3 linked regions of the Caenorhabditis elegans genome follow. The protein of the gene in region 3 interacts with the protein of the main gene of each other region in a pairwise test. Each region holds a gene or a part of one and is shown on either strand. Other genes may lie near its edges. The genes, in order: syp-2, syp-3 and syp-1.

What was found.
Region 1: the proteins of syp-1 (region 3) and syp-2 interact in a two-hybrid assay, tested with the Caenorhabditis elegans proteins (one study listed by BioGRID).
Region 2: the proteins of syp-1 (region 3) and syp-3 interact in a two-hybrid assay, tested with the Caenorhabditis elegans proteins (one study listed by BioGRID).

Annotation. Positions count from the first base shown.
Region 1 is NC_003283.11:5,534,151-5,538,946, reverse strand, and holds syp-2 (Biogenesis of lysosome-related organelles complex 1 subunit 1), read right to left. Parts: upstream 2,461-4,796; 5' UTR 2,179-2,460; coding exon 2,122-2,178; intron 2,075-2,121; coding exon 1,916-2,074; intron 1,867-1,915; coding exon 1,615-1,866; intron 1,572-1,614; coding exon 1,398-1,571; 3' UTR 1,230-1,397; downstream 1-1,229. Other genes in the region: cft-1 (Cystic Fibrosis Transmembrane conductance regulator homolog), read right to left, coding at 1-147; cox-16 (Cytochrome c oxidase assembly protein COX16 homolog, mitochondrial), read left to right, coding at 2,727-2,867, 2,968-3,033, 3,084-3,224; C24G6.8 (putative peptidyl-tRNA hydrolase 2), read left to right, coding at 3,217-3,447, 3,818-4,069, 4,191-4,296, 4,345-4,706.
Region 2 is NC_003279.8:8,662,050-8,666,348, reverse strand, and holds syp-3 (Synaptonemal complex protein 3), read left to right. Parts: upstream 1-2,228; 5' UTR 2,229-2,234; coding exon 2,235-2,337; intron 2,338-2,390; coding exon 2,391-2,438; intron 2,439-2,481; coding exon 2,482-2,735; intron 2,736-2,799; coding exon 2,800-2,866; intron 2,867-2,912; coding exon 2,913-3,115; 3' UTR 3,116-3,289; downstream 3,290-4,299. Other genes in the region: F39H2.3 (Aminomethyltransferase folate-binding domain-containing protein), read right to left, coding at 115-282, 398-492, 627-711, 782-939, 982-1,214, 1,270-1,373; mrt-1 (5' exonuclease Apollo), read right to left, coding at 3,290-3,488, 3,589-3,843, 3,890-4,108, 4,164-4,299. UniProt on the Caenorhabditis elegans protein: Plays a role in early meiotic events; during prophase I contributes to synaptonemal complex (SC) assembly, synapsis and chiasmata formation and stabilization of homologous chromosomes pairing.
Region 3 is NC_003283.11:16,402,011-16,408,734, reverse strand, and holds syp-1 (uncharacterized protein), read right to left. Parts: upstream 4,462-6,724; 5' UTR 3,904-4,461; coding exon of another isoform or gene 3,589-3,903; 5' UTR 2,973-3,588; coding exon 2,669-2,972; intron 2,614-2,668; coding exon 2,438-2,613; intron 2,390-2,437; coding exon 2,278-2,389; intron 2,226-2,277; coding exon 1,714-2,225; intron 1,664-1,713; coding exon 1,580-1,663; intron 1,410-1,579; coding exon 1,128-1,409; 3' UTR 1,034-1,127; downstream 1-1,033. Other genes in the region: F26D2.3 (Core-2/I-Branching enzyme), read right to left, coding at 455-609, 658-772; F13A7.14 (BZIP domain-containing protein), read right to left, coding at 3,589-3,903, 4,860-5,360, 6,425-6,508.

The sequences.
Region 1 (4,796 bases), about 11 Mb from region 3:
CGTAGATGATCTACATTTCTGTAATAACTTTGAGACCGGAAGCTCTAAAAGTTTCGATGCAAATGAGCTCTTCGCTTGCTCATTTTCAGTTTCATTTTGAATTTGCCGCGCGTTCTTCGATAGATTCACACTCACTGAATAATACATTAATGGTGAAAAATTTGACAAAGAGTGGAATATCTTTTGTGAGTTTTTTCGCCCTAAATGATATAGAACAGTTTGAGTATACCGAAGTTGTAAAAAATATTATTTTTCTAAATTTTTATGACATATGTTTCAGTTTTAAAAAAATATATCGAAAGGACCAAATGAGATGCCTAATCTTAATTTTTGTTTGCGCTTTTCGGCTGTATTATCACTTATACGCTTGAACATAAACATTGTCGCCATATCTCATTGGTCTCGCCACGAGGGCAACGTGTTTTATTACGGGAACACAAAATTCAGAAAATGCGTATTGCACAAAATATTTGACGCGCAAAATATCCCGCAGCGAAAACTACAGTAATCCCTTAAATGACTACTGTGGTGCTTGTGTCGATTTAGGGTTTTGAGATGAAAAAATTCGAACATCGAGCCCGTAAATCGACAGAATCGCTACAGTTGTCATTTAAAGAATTACTGTAGTTTTCGCTATTATATCTTTGGCGTCAAATATGTTGTGCAATACGCATTTTCAGAACTTTGTGTTATCGTAATACAGTAACTCGTTATCCGCGTGGCGAGACCCATGCGCATAAGATATCGCGTTGATTTTTCCATGTTTTTTTCTATGTTTTGTATTTTAATTTGTCGGGAAAAAAATCAATAATCGAAGAAAAAATGAAACAAAAATCGATAAGTACAGCCGGAAAACGTGAAAAAAATCTTCTTGGCAAACTTTTTTCTACAAATCAGTAAAAATTTAGAAAAATTCTATAATTTTTTTACACTATTATTCGGCATAATAAGATTTTTTCTGTTATTTTTGGGAAAAAAAAACACAGACGCTACTCCACAAATTGCATAAGTATTCAAAAAAAACTTACCGTTCATACTTTGTGAAACATTTATCGAGTTACAGTCAAAAAGAGTAAAAGGAAACTACGCCATCGGACAATTGGTGGATTTGCATAAATTGATATTTTGAAATTCAAATTTTTCAAGTTTTTGTTTCATACGTTTCATTTTGTCCTGTGTCCTATGCGGCGGAGGCGTAATGCATTCTGTGAAAGTTGAGTGATGCGAGTTTTTAAACAAAATTTTATTCATTTTGGTCAAATATGGATTTTGGATTGTTTTTTTTTCAAAAAAAAAAGTTCCCATATTTGAGAAAGCAATACATGCAATACGATGGACAAACATTAAAATGATACATGTCATGTAATAAAACAAGGAAATTGAATACAACAGATGATTTATAACTTGTCAGCCCACGGCTCGAGCGTTTCAACCAAATCCAGAAGTTTGTCGTAATGAGCAGAGAAATCTTCCGAGAACCCATCGTTGTTGATTTTTGCATTATTGATTATTTTTATAGCCGCCTGAACATCATTGAGACAAGTGGAATGATGCGATCTGGCGTCAACGCGCTGAAATTTTTAAATATATATTTACTAATTATCTAATTCTTACATTTTCGAGTGTTTTAGACCAATTGTTGGCTTTCTCGACGAGCTCTTTTGTTTTTCCTTCTAGAGAAATGAGCTTCTTTGACTGTTTCTCCATTTGGTCGCTGAGTTTACTTTCGGCTAATGCCATATTTGCGATACGTTCGATTGAATTTGCCAGCTCCATTGTCAGATCTTGTGTCATTTTCGCCTGCTTGATCATTTTGTGTTCAATTTCAGAAACGTCATCCAATATGTCGCTTTGCTTACTCACAAGCTGAAATAAATTTTAATTGATTTATTTTCTGAATAACATTGGATCATACTGAAATTATATCGGCCACATCATGAGCAGGTTTCGATTTCTTCGGCGTGGAATGCATAGTTCGAAGATTTTTCGCTTTTGCAGGTTGTTTAGTTTGGGCCGCCACAGTTACTGCAGCTGTTTTCTGTGAAGAAGACACTGGAGATGCGAAGCTGACTCTCTAAAGATTCAATATTTTTAGTGAACCAATAAGAAGACTTCAATTACCCGGTCATCTTGGGGTCCTGGCCGCTTTTTGAGCGAAGATCGATGGGCAGAATTCATTCAAAAATTCTCAGAAGCGAAGTTTAAAATTAAAAAAAAAGAATAATGGAATCGAAATGGAATTTGGTAAAGAATTCACAAAAACTACGGTATCGGTCATTTTCCATGTGTTGGTCTGGCAACGCTGTGGAATTATTTTGTAATGCGCCTTTAAAGTTACAGTAGTACATTTTTAAATGCAGATTTAATAGTTTTCAAGGATTTGTTTATTGAACCATCTGCTTTTCAATCATGAAATAATTTAAGACTTTTTAATGCTTTCAGTTTACAGCTGCCTCGCATGCATGTATCTCAAGAATGATCACTTGTTTTCTTGATTTCTCTGTTGTAACGACGCTCCGCTCTAACGCATGCGCATGTTGTTTAGCGAATCGCGGACGCAAACCAATTTTTATTTTCTTTCTCAATTGCCCCTCTTTGTGCTCTTTTTCGCGAGTTATTTCCGATATTTCACAATTTATTAATACACTTAGCTCACGAGGGCGACAGTTCATGAATGTCTCTTCGAATTTCTAAATCTTTCAGTCGTGCGGTTCGTTTAAACGTTTATGAGCCGTCTGAAGTTTGTTCGTGTCGGGCTTCCATTTTTCGCAATCGTCTTGGGTAGCGCGTACGGACTTCACTTTTTCCAACAAGTCCGATTCGATTTTCGAAAAATCAAGCAAGAAGACGATAATCTTGAGCTCTTGGTGCGTTTCGTTTCTAGAAAATATCTCAACCTATTAACGTGTGATTTCTACCCTTTTCTAATTTTTTTTCTCATTTAAACTCTAAATTTATTGTTTGCAGAGGTCAGATTTGACAAGAAGCGGTCTGCGTCTTCGCGAAGGAGTCACTGTCGAGTCAGTTTATAAAGTGGGTTTTTGAAAAAAAAAAAAGATCTTTAATAAATACATAGTTTTAAGGAAGTCGCTGAACTTGACACGGACAACTGGGAAAACATCCGAGGTCCAAGAGATACTGAAGATCTCACCGACTATAACCTAATCAAAAAGCAGCAACAAGAAGCTAGTCGCAAAGTTCGAGAGTTGAAATCTAATGTCTGAAAACATCCCCGACATTGACCCCAACGAGCTCCTTCCAAACGCGCCAGGACAACATCAGGACCTTGGAGTTGATAATCCTCCAGAACCAGATAACGCTTCAATCCGAGCAGAGAGAGGTTCACCGACTCCGTCGTCCGTGACAGTCGACAACGCACCCTCCCTGCCGGATCGGTCATTCTCGCATTTACCAATTAACGATCCTTTCAGCGGAGAAATTCCAGAAGTATGTATATACTCACAGACTCCTCGGCGCGATATTACGGCGCGTAGTTGTCTTCTGTAAATCCCGATATTTTCACAATTTTCAATTGATTTGAGTATCCATATCCGCGGTAAAGCTGATATTTCTCTATTAAATAAAAGAAAAATAAACACCTGCAGAATGTTTTCAATGAGCAACCCTTAATGTAAAAAATACTCGTACAAAAACCATAATTTTTATAAGATACTATTATAATAGTAACATTATGTGTTTATGAACATATTTTAAATGAAAGTTAGCAAAAAACAAGAGCTAGAAATGATTGAAAGGCGCATCCAAGGAGGCTGTGAATTCTAGCTTCAATAATCTGATAATAAAAAATAATTTCCAGGTGCCGATCCCATCATCTGCAATCTCAATCTCCAGTCAAGCTTTATCTGATCCAGTTCCCACACCATCCGACACTTCAAGACCTGGAATTCTTCGCAACGACGAGCAAGGTTCGACATCCAGTCATCCAGTCGATCCACAAGAACCTAACGAAGTTAACAACGAGTATTTGGCGCATCTTCTCGATTTAGGATTCGACGAGTACACTGCAGTTCTTGCGTTGAAAAGAACGAATAGCGCCGGCGTTGAACAGGTGCCGTTTATTTCTTTATGTTTTGCGCTAGAACACATTAACTTTAATTATGTTAATAACACGCATGAAATTATGTTTCATGTATATTAAACAGATCTCATAATTGTCTCTCATATTTCAGGCAGTTGCTTGGATTGTTGAACGTTCCAACGAAAGCGATTTCGACGAGGATTCGAGTAGCAGTGAGAACGAAGCAGACGAAGAAATGGGAGCTGTTCAATCAGTTGGTAGGAATTTTTCATGAATATATTCAAATTTTAATTTAATTCTTACAGCCGGACGTACCCATAAAATGGTTCTTGTCGCCAACATGAGTTTGAAAATGGGAACGGGAAAAATTGCTGCACAAGTTGGCCACGCTACTCTCGGAGTCTACCGTCAAGCTATGAACTCTGAAAACGGACAAAATGCGATCGCCGCGTGGACAAGACATGGTCAGGTTAAAATCGTCGTGAAGGGACAGAGCACGGAGCAACTGATGGATCTGTGTAAAGTGGCCAAGGATGCAGGATGCTATTACTATCTAGTTCAAGATGCTGGTTACACCCAAATTCCGGCTGGTTCAAGAACTGTTCTTGGTATTTTTGGAACTGTCGAGCAAGTGGATTCGGTCACAGGAGGACTCAAATTGCTCTAGATTTAAATTATTTTTTATAATCTGTTTGCGTTCTCGTTTTCTCCCCATTTATCTCCCCATCAGTACATTGTTTTTAACGATGGCAACGAT
Region 2 (4,299 bases), on a different chromosome or scaffold from region 3:
TAAAATCTACAAAAAATATAAAACGAAAAGAAGAAAAGTGTTTCAAAAAAAGTCTACTTCCGAATAAGATGAAAATCGAATTTAAAGAAATGTCTCCTAAATATCATAGAAAATTTAAGAATCCGTCAAGCTAGTTCTAGTTTTATTATTCGCTAAAATCTTATCAGGCATCCATTCAGGTTGCTTTGCGGTTAACGAAACTCCATCAGCTGTCAATTTTTGAGATTTGAATGAAGAAAGTTGAAGAATTCCCAGGCAACGAGTTGTGTCAGAAGAGATAATCTGAAGATTTTTTAATTGAACAGAAACTATTGTTTTTCAATTTTTGACAGTGAATTGACTCCAGATAATTCCAACGTTTAGATGAATTTTTTATCACTATAACTTTTAAACACACCTTTCCGACTTTATTTTTCTTCTCGTCCAGAACTTCTGCTCCAATTTTGACTTGACCTTCACATTCAAATGGTAAGATTCGTCGACGGATAACACCTGTCAAAATTTAATTTTTCAAAATCAAATTGAACTAGTTTTGTGGGTTTTACAAAAATTTAATTGACAAGTTACTAAATAAAAAGGAAAGTGAGATTTCACGTCTCCAAATATCTAAATTTAGTTGAAGTAACCTGTATGAGCAGTTCTTGCAGTTAATTCCTGTCCAACATAACATCCTTTATCAAGTGAAACCATATTGAGCAGATCACCGTTTGCCTTAAAAAATAATATTTGAAAATGAACTTTTAGAAATATTTCATTTAAATTGCTTCTGTTGTATTTTTACCTGAAAAGGAAGCAACTCCGCCAATTCTTGAGATCCTTCTGCAATTCCAGCAGATCGTCGCAAATTTTCATATTTTTCTCGATTTTCGCTAACTTCCGATGAAGACGGATTACCGAAAACGCGAGCTCCAAAACCAGAAAATCGAGGATCGCGGTGAGCTAAAATAAAATGTTATTAAAGTTTTGACGTTCATTTTCTACCTTGTTTGTCCGATACATCTTCTGTGAAAAATATTTGATCGGAAGATTCGGTGATTTCAACTTGTTTCCTCAATCGATATTTCAAGATTTCTTTTGTTAAAATAGTTTTATTTTCTTTAGAACATTCCAAGAACAAATCATCAGTTCCTCGTCTCCATAGAAGAACATCTTCAACAATTCTCCCTTTTGTGTTGAGCAAAAAAGCAGCAAGTCCATTTTGAGTTTGAAGTTTTCTGCAAAATAAGATGTAATCATTTTCGCTGTAATTTTTAGAGTATAAAAACATACGTCACATCATTTGTAATTAAACCTTGAAGAAACGCGTTTGTGTCAGAGCCATGAAGTTTCAAAAGAACTCTATGAGGCAATTTAATTAATCTTTGTGTTGACATCTGTAAAAAAGTTTGATAATCACAAGAAAACATATTAAAATATGTTAGAGTAAATTTCGCAACGGGGATGATCATATGGCCGTGCCGAATAATTTCGTCCGCGGCCGCAAGTAGAGCGAGGAAATTTGAAAAAGAAAACAAGCGCTTGGATTAGCAGCAAACTATTTAGGATGAAGCACCAAGTACGTCGCATTGAAAGCTGGGAATAATTATAATTTGCCTAAGCTTGGGACAAACTACACTCAAAATAAAAAAACTGCGTGGCGTGTACTGCAGAAAACCTCATATTTAGGCCCCGCCTTTTTCTCGTCCACTCACGGAGTGGAGGCAAAAATTTGGGGACCAACCAATATCATGCCGCCGACATCCTACGGGTTCCGCGCGCCGCTATGTTTAACTCGCAGCGGGCGGAGACAGCTCGCCACGCCCACAGCGAGTTAATCCTAGCGGCGCGCGGAACCCGTAGGATGTCGGCGGCCTGATATTGGTTGGTCCCCAAATTTTTGCCTTTTGTCCGTGAGTGGACGAGAAAAAGGCGGGGCCTAAAAATGAGGTTTTCTGCAGTACAGGCCACGCAGTTTTTTTATTTTGAGTGTAGGTTGTTGCTTAAATTTAATAAAATTAATTTGAATTAAAAATTGTCGAAGCGAATACATATTTAAAAAATGAATATTTTGTGTGTTTAATGAGTGAATAAAAATAAAACTGTTCATGAAAACATACGGTTTAAAGGCTCACGTTGTTCTTAAGTCATGTGGGTCTCGCAACGATCGCAAACACGCTACGGTTTTTTGTTAATTTTAAATATTTTTATTTTCTATTGTGAATTGGCCATTTCAATATCTCCAATTTCAGAGATAAATGAATTTCGAAAAGCTTGTCAGTCAGGCAGTAAATGGTGACCGATTCAAAATTTTCTGCGGGCAGCTCACTGAGTTCACCAACTCGCTCGCTGGGGAAAGAGGTATGTTTTGAGGCAAACATCAATGAAATATGAATTTAAAAATACATTTTCAGAGGCCATAGAAAAAGGAATGAGGCAAATCGAAACTCAACAGCTTGAAGGTTTGACAGATTGAAAAAGGCTCAACTTTAAAATTTTCTTCAGCCGAAACTTCATTCACCGAGCGAATTGCTGAAGACAGGGTTAAATGTGCTGCTCAACGAGAAAGTCTAGAAAGACAGCTTCAGGATTTGACAGCAACTGACAATAAACTGTCTGAACAGAAAAGAGACTGGGAAGAGAGACAAGAAAAAGCCTATGATGAACTAATGTCTTATTTGGAAAACGAGGATGTGGACAGTGCGGGTACACAGTTCGGAGATCACTTCAATTCATTAATTAAATCGATGAACAACTTGGTAAGTCTGCTCGATAACTTTATAATTTTTAAAAAGAGTGGGTTTCTGAATGTTATATTTTCAGTCACATGATTCGATGAATGGTCAATTCAATTCACTCAAAAACAATCTGGATGAATTAAACATTGAAAGTAAGTTGAAAAAAAATTTTGATGGTATTATCAACTAAACTTGCAGAGAAACAACTAGAAGTCGCCATCGCTGATCAATCATCGACTATTTCTGAAATGATTCCTTCTCTCCGTCCAACATGTGGAGCGACCTACAAAGAGCGCAACACTCTTCGCATTATTTTCCATTATCAAGTTGCCAAACTGCGCAGTGAGTACCAAAAATGTCGTCTACAAGAAGAAGCTCTGAAAGCCCGACTTTCTACATGAATTAAAAGAATCAGAACAGCCAAAATGTGGGCAACTGTTAATCGAACTGTAATGATATTAAAAATTGAATAATCTTTTTTCAAATCGTTCTGTTATCCTAAACTTTCATCATGTCGAATGCTTATCATGTAATATTTAATTTTATTGCATCAACCGTTGTGAAGTTTTAATAAATTATAGTCCTGGATTTCTCGGCCTTCTTGAATTATTGGCCCGAGCGATAGCTTCCGCAAATGTTTTCGGAGGTCCTTCCGGCCAATTGTCCAAGTCCATATCCATAAAATCGCATGTATTCGTTCGAAATACAACTCCAGGCGGTAGAGGGTCTTCTTGAAGTTGTGAAATGGGTGTTCCTTGGATAGTAGATTGAGTCCTAAAGTAAGATGTTCCTATTAATTAAAATTCACAATTTTGGGAATATGAATAACTTTCCCTTTTTCGAAAGTCGTGCTTCAATAATGAGACTAACTTACTTTTCTACTGTGTGGTCCTCTTCTGATCGTTTTCCTGCATTTTCCAAAGATGCCAGCTCAATGATAGAATACTTTTTAGTACACGGCGTAATCGTTTTAAAGTGAAAATGACTGAGAAATTTAAGAATTTCACTTCTTGAAGAGTGGTCGGAATATGGAATTCTAATGATTCCCTCGTCGTCGTTGACACCATTTCCAAACGTATAATAGAGCATCGATATGTCGATTATCACCGAATTTTGAGATATTTCACAACTAAAATAAAGGATTATTTGATGTGTTTAAAAATGGAAAGCCGTACTAGCTTCCTTTTTTGATAACTTTAATATCTCGATACTGTTTCAAAACTCCACAGTTTGATGAAAAGTCTAATAAATCTGAAATAACTTTTCTTTCATCATAAACCATAATGGGTTCATTCAATATTCGAGATATTGCTTGAATCAATTCTTCACGCCCAAGTCTATGCAAGGGAATAACAATATTTTCATGCGGATGTGCTTCAATAGCCTTCAGGAGTCTAAAAAATTAAACTGATTAAAATTTAAATAATAGCGAATTATTAGATTTCTTACATTTTTTCTGCCTCGCATCGTTCAGGAAACGGCATATCCAATGAAAAATAGGTGTTATCCAAATAAATAATTCCAAATTTTATTTCGGTCATCCAATGCAATTGGTTTCCTGGTTTTAGACTTTCCAAAAACATTT
Region 3 (6,724 bases):
AAAAAAAGCTTAGGAATATATTATATTGCTTAGGCTTAAGCGTAGGCTTAGGCTTAGGCTTCGACATAGTTAGGCTTAAGACGAAGTCATTTTATTGTTTTTTTCTCATTTAGAAACCGAGATTTATTTTCGATAAATGTTCAATTTCACACAAAAACGAAAAAAAAACAGCGATTTTCAAATGTCCTGATCCATAATACATAGATACTTGAAGATGCCCTTTATAACAGTTTTCCGTGATTAATATTTATTACGTAAACGTCTAATCTTGCCACGTTTAGTTTTTTAAACTGTATATCGTGTCGAGTCCATGAATATAAATATAAATAAAACCGTTACAGTAACCCGTTGTCGGCGTGGCGAGACCCTTGAGCGTAAGTTATGGGGTAAATTCTCAGTTTCAGACGTCTAAGTAACAAATAAAATAAAAACCAGTAAGATGTCGGCTGCCAACCTTATCCCCTCGAAGGACCCGTCTGCAATCCACATGTCGAGTTTCGGGCCGTTTGCAATAGAACCTTCGATCTTTACAATATTTATCCATATTCCTCAATGCCTCAATCATTTTCTCGTAAACGACAACTTTCCGGTCCGCCGATAGATAAGGATCTAAAGAAAATGTACTTTTCAGAGAAACAAGAAGCTCGAAGATCTCACCAAATTCTCCATAGAACAGATTGAGGAGTGTTGTGGGAGAAACTAAGTAAATTATAAAAGTAAATCCCAAAATAAGTAGAATAACCGAATAGGGCAATTGTCTTTGTTGAGACATTTGAGGTAAGTATGTAGATAAAGTCTTCCGCCGCCTTTGCAAAAAAAATCAGATTAAAAGGGCGGAAAAATTGGAGGAATGTCTAGTGGAAGGCGTGCATTGTGTGTTGACCTGTGGGAATTAAAAAAAAAAGTGTTTGAACTTAGACAAGACATGCGAGAACAATTCCCGTTCAAATTGGCCAATTTGTCGGGGAGTTTTTTTGAAAAAAGATTCTTCCTGCAATTCGAGAAGAATTGAAATCTGGTTTTTTCTCTCTCGTTGCCGCAAATTACTTTATATAAAACTCTAAAAACACAAAAAAAAATAGCACAAGATTGAAATGGTACATAGTCGTTTCTTCCCCACACACACATTATTTCTTCCCTCCTCTCTTTCGGCGAACATCTGCAGTATGAGCTTCGGCTCTCGTTTTAAGACGATCGGCCGCACGAGTTCGTTTCAACGGTCTGGTAGCTGCGGTAAGTGGTGTGCTCGTCATCAATGGCGCCGAGAATACATCATGAGACACTTGTCGGTGTACTGGAGTAACTTCTACACTTGGCTGCGGCGGAACTACTCGATCTGAATAGTCGGATTCCACGATATCGATGGTGTCGTTAAATTGATCGCCGTTTGCAGCACGTTGTTCTTTAATCTGAAAAATGGAAAAAAAATTAGTGAACAATTTCCGTTGAAAAAACTATCGAAAAATGGGGTAAATTTTGAACCACAATAAAATTTTCTTGTTTCATAGCGAAATTGGTTCTTTTGGGCACATTTTGAGTCTACAAATAACTCTGTATTAAATTCAAAAATTATTATTACTTGATTGAACAACTTCTCGTGTTCCTTGGCGGCGTCCTTGATTTGCTTATCATAGTCATTGATTTCCAACTGCATAGCAGAGATCTGAACAATAAAAAATTATTGGTTACAGTACTATATATTTAAGGAATAACCTCTTCTTCAAGATCACTCTCCGTTTTTGAAGATTGGAGCTGCTCCAGTTCCTTCTTTCCTTTCTCTAGCTTCTCTTGTTCTTTAGCAATTGCTTTTTTGAGACTGGTGATTTTCTTTCGATCTGATCCTTTAACTGTATTTGATTTCTTCTTTTCAGCAATTTTTCGACGAAGAAGTTCGATAATTGATCTTTTGCGCTCTTCAATCAATTTCTTATTCTCGATGTCTTCTTGTTGACGTGCCTCATACTTCAATTTTAATATTTTCGTATCCTCCTTGATCTTTGAGAGGGAAGCTTTCAGCTGTTCATTTTCCACTCGAACTTTTGCAGTCTCCGCTGTGATCTTTTCGATTTCCTTTTCAATTTCAGTCGTTTTGTCTTGCGAACGGCTTGCTTCGAATTGAAATAGCTGAGAACGGAGTGTGACGCAATCTTCCCTCATTTGCTCCAACTTCTCCTCTGATGCTTTGAGATTCAGTTTTCCCTCTTCGAGCGCTTCTCGGTCTTGATCTGAAATTTAGAAGAACATTTCATATTTTCTATTTACTGAAGAATTTAATACCTTGGCGAATTATCATTTCATCGTATTTCGCTTGCATCATTGCGCACGACGAATTCAGCTCCACCAATTTTTCATGTTTCTGCTTGGCTGCCATGATCATTTCACGAAGCCTCTGAAAATATTCAATTGATAATTTAAAAAAGAATATTCAATAACTAACCTTGCACTCATTTTTAGCTTCTCCGTTATTACGAGATTGTTCGCGTTGAATTATCTTAGTGAGCTCTCTTTCACGACTAGACAACAAATCTTCGAATTTGGATAACTCATAATCCGCTTCATTAAGACTTTTCTCCTTTTCGCCTGATTGTAGCTTGGTGCGATCTGGGATGCTTTCTGAAATTGGATATTTTCAGTGATGATTTTCAAGAAAAATTGAACATTTTCTCACTTTTGACAGAGACAAGTTGCAATTCGATCGACTTGCACGACTCTTTGAATACGTTAAGCTCCTTCTTTATATCATGCATTCGTTGCGACTCGGTTTGAACTTGAGAAGCCAGCTCGCGAGATTTCGCCGCCTGCTCATCAGTTTGCTCGCCTTTATCTTGCTCAGTCTGCTCGTCAAGCTTCTCAAGAACGTATTGCTGTGTGAGCATGATCTCATCGCGAAGAAAGCCTGACGATTGGTCATCAACTGGTGTCTCAATAAGTGCTTCAGTGGGAGCGTCAACCCAAATTGTGAAGTTATCCATTGCCAGAAACCTGAAAATAAATATTTATAAGCATTTTCGGCAAAAATTTATATTAAAAATTGGAAAAATCGAAGAAAAAAGATTGAAAAATGAAGAAAAAAACTTTGTAAAACGGTTTAAAATTTAAAGAATAATTTTTAAAATATTTTTTTTAATATGAGCGGAGGCCGCAAACACCGCGGCGCAAATTTGCAGATTGCCTACAGTAACTTGAGATTTTGTCAATGGAGCGCGTTTTGTTGCAGCTATTTTTTTCAAGATTATATGGTTTTTTTGCTGTAAAACATGACAAAAACTGCAGAAAACTTCGTAAAATTCAGGAAAAAAAGACGGAAAATTGAACAAAAAATCAGCGCTGATTTTGAATTGGTTGTGCTCCTTTGTGATTTCGAACATTAGCTTTTCATTGAAAATATAATTATTTATTGAAAAAAGTCCGTAAGTAAATATTTAAAATTGTCGTGTCAAGACCCTGTGTCCAGCTCCTCGAAATACAAGTAATATGATTTATTGTTTAATTGTGAATTTGAAAAAAAACATAAAAAGACGAATGTTACACGCATTGGAAATCCAAAAAAAAATATTCACACATTTCTATAAGTAGATTATTCATGTTTCACTTGAGATCATCAGAAATATCACTTTTCGAACTATTCGACAGATCACTCAACGAAGTATCATCATCATCATTGTAATCGTACACGGTGATCGGATCAGTATATCGTGGAGCCATTGGTCCAACAGGTCCCATTTGGCTGAACGGGGAAGGTGCTGGAGCAGCAGCAGAAGGAGCCGGTGGGAATGGTGCAGAAGTAGAGGGTAATGCGGTGAAGTTGAACGAGTGTGTGAATTGAAGAGCCGGAGGTTGTAGTTGGAATGGTTGAAGAGTTGAAGCTGTCGCCGGTCCAAAGTAGAAATTGCTGTTGAATGGCTGAAAATTTTTATTTATTTCCGAGACGTGAAATTTTGTGATTTTTTAAAATTTTTGTTAAATTTGAAAAGGTGTGCGCCTTTAAAGATTACTGTAGTTTTACGGAAAATGGGAATTTTATTTTAGATTTTTAAAAATTTATTCGGAACACTATGAAAAATCGATGAAGAAATTTTGAAAATACAGTAATCCTTAAAGGCGCATACTTGTTTTGCACTTTACAACAATTTTCGTGTCGAGACCGGCTACCGTAGGGGTTTAAGCCAAGAAATGCAGGATCTTCTGAAAACAAATGCACACTTCTCCACGAGGAGTACACGGGCCGCGTAAATCGACAGAACTGCTCTGACAATTTTTGGAATTTGAATTACCGCGAACTTGGCGCTAAGACACGCCCATTTTTCCGTGCCGTACTTTTGTAATTTTTTGAATTTCGAAGGAAATTCGTATTTTTCATCCATTTTTTTTTAATTGTGACACTTTTCATGTAGATTTTTACTCGGAGAAGGTATTTTTTTGTATTTTTGACGTTTTTTAGGAAAAAAAATTTGAAAATACGCAAAATTCCCTCTCCGAGTGGAAAATAACATGAAAAGTGTATTTTTAAGAATTTAAAATTTCTTCAACATCAAAAACGCAAAAAAAAATCGGCAAAGAAAGACAAATTTGCGTCGAAATCGAAAAAAAACCAACAGTGCCGCACAGAAAAATGGGCGTGGTTTCACGCAGTTTTTGTACCCCTCTAGGAGAAGTGTGCAGTTTTTTTTTGCTGGAATTCTTAATTTTAGTCCGTTTTTGCTAATTTTTAGCATTCAAATTTGCTAAAATTCTTGCTGAAAATCGCAAAATTTCGCTGAAAATCGCTAAATGTATAGTTTTTTAATCATAAAATACAATTTTTGACGATTTAATGCCAAAATTTGCGAAAATAGTCCAATTTCACTGCAAATTTTTACCTGAAAAACTGGCACCGAATTCTTCTTTTCCATCTCCAACTGCTCACATCTCTTCTCAAGCTTCTCACATTTGCTCCGATACTTTTCCATTTCCTTCTTAAATTGATCTCGTTCTCGGCGAAGCTTCTCCACATCCGACACGCTCGGCATATTTAAATTGAAATTTTCCATAGCATTATGCACATAATTTTCCCGTTCAATTCGCTCAGCAACTCGCTTTCTTTTCCGTTTTTCTTGTCGCCGAGACTCTTCGTGTTCCCATTTTTGTAGTGTAAATTGGGTGAACTCGTAAATCGAATCTTCACTTGGATATTGATTTTCTGGACTAGAACGATCGAGGTGAACTCGTCGCCTTTTGAGATTTGGTTGATCAAATGTCGCGTCAAGGTCGAGAGTTTCATCGTGATGAAGTTTTGGAGTTGTTGTAGTTGGTGGTGGTGGTGGAACAGGAGGTTCAGATTCAGTAAATCTATAGGGTTTTGGTGATGGACCGGGTTGTAGCTGAAAAATATTTGATTTTTTAAAAAAATTGGGTTTTTTATTTTAAAAAATTGAAAATTTCAGGTTGTTTTTTATGAGAAAATACAATTTTTCAGATTTTACAGAAAAATTTAAAAAAAAACATTTTTTTGGCTTTTTGGATTTGTATCGCGCTTTTGAATTGAAAAAAAAGGCATTTTTCTGATTTTTTATTGGAAAACTCGAATTTTTTTTGGTATATTTTTGTTGTAATGGAATTTTTCTGACTATTAACCATTTTTCTTGTCTTTTTATCGGGAAATTTGAATATTTCTCGATTTTTACATGATCAACTGGAATTTTTAAAGTTATTTCATTGGAAAACCCGGTTTTTCTGGATTTTTTCGTTGAAAAATCTAGATTTTCCGTTTTTTTTTGTTAAAAAATTGAATTTTATTCTGAAATTGGCTTTTTTTGTGTTTTCAGCGGAAAATATGGATTTTAATAGATTTTTAACTGGAAAATTCGAATTTTCCTTGTGTTTTCATTGAAGAAAATCAAAAATTTTCCGCTTTTTAGTGGAAAAACCGGATTTTTCTAGATTTTTCTTATTAAAACTGAACATTTTCTGGATTCTTCCGTGAAAAATCAGGATTTTAAGGTTTTTTGAGGAAAACAAAGAATTTTCTTGAAAAAGTCAATATTTTCTGGTTTTATAGAGGGAAAATCAGAAATTTTCCGCTTTTTTATCGGAAAATTCGAATATTTCTTGATTTTTACATGATAAACTGGAATTTTTTAAAGTTATTTTATTGGAAAACCTGGTTTTTCTGGTTTCTTGTTTAAAAAAAAAGAATTTTTCTCGGAAATTTGCCGATTTTTTTTGGATTTTCAACGGAAAATAGGGATTTCAATAGATTTTTAACTGGAAAATTCGAATTTTCCTTGTTTTTATTGGAAAAAATCAGAAATTTTCGGGTTTTTAATAAGCAAACGCTAAATTTGGCGAATATTTCAAACAAAAAGCCAGTTTCCGGCTGCTGGGAGGTGACAAAAAGGAGATTTTCGCAAAATTCAATAATTTTTATTAACAAATTCGCCCTTACCTCTGCATAATCATCATCGTCGTCGAAGAGCTCTTCTTTTTTCGTTTTCTTACTTTTGAAGAACTTCCGCACAATTCCAGCCATTCTAAAATCGAAAAAATTATACAATTATATTCAAAAAAAAATATATTATTGTGCCCCCGAAAAATCGATAATGACCGCGCGTAGACAGACAGTGTCGCCGCTTGTAAGAAGGCGGATCAAAGAGAGCCGACACCTCTTCCCTGTTGCGGTGTGTGTGTGTTTGGTGAGGGTGCAACTGGCTGTTGGGATTATAGAGTCGGATAATCAAAGAATACC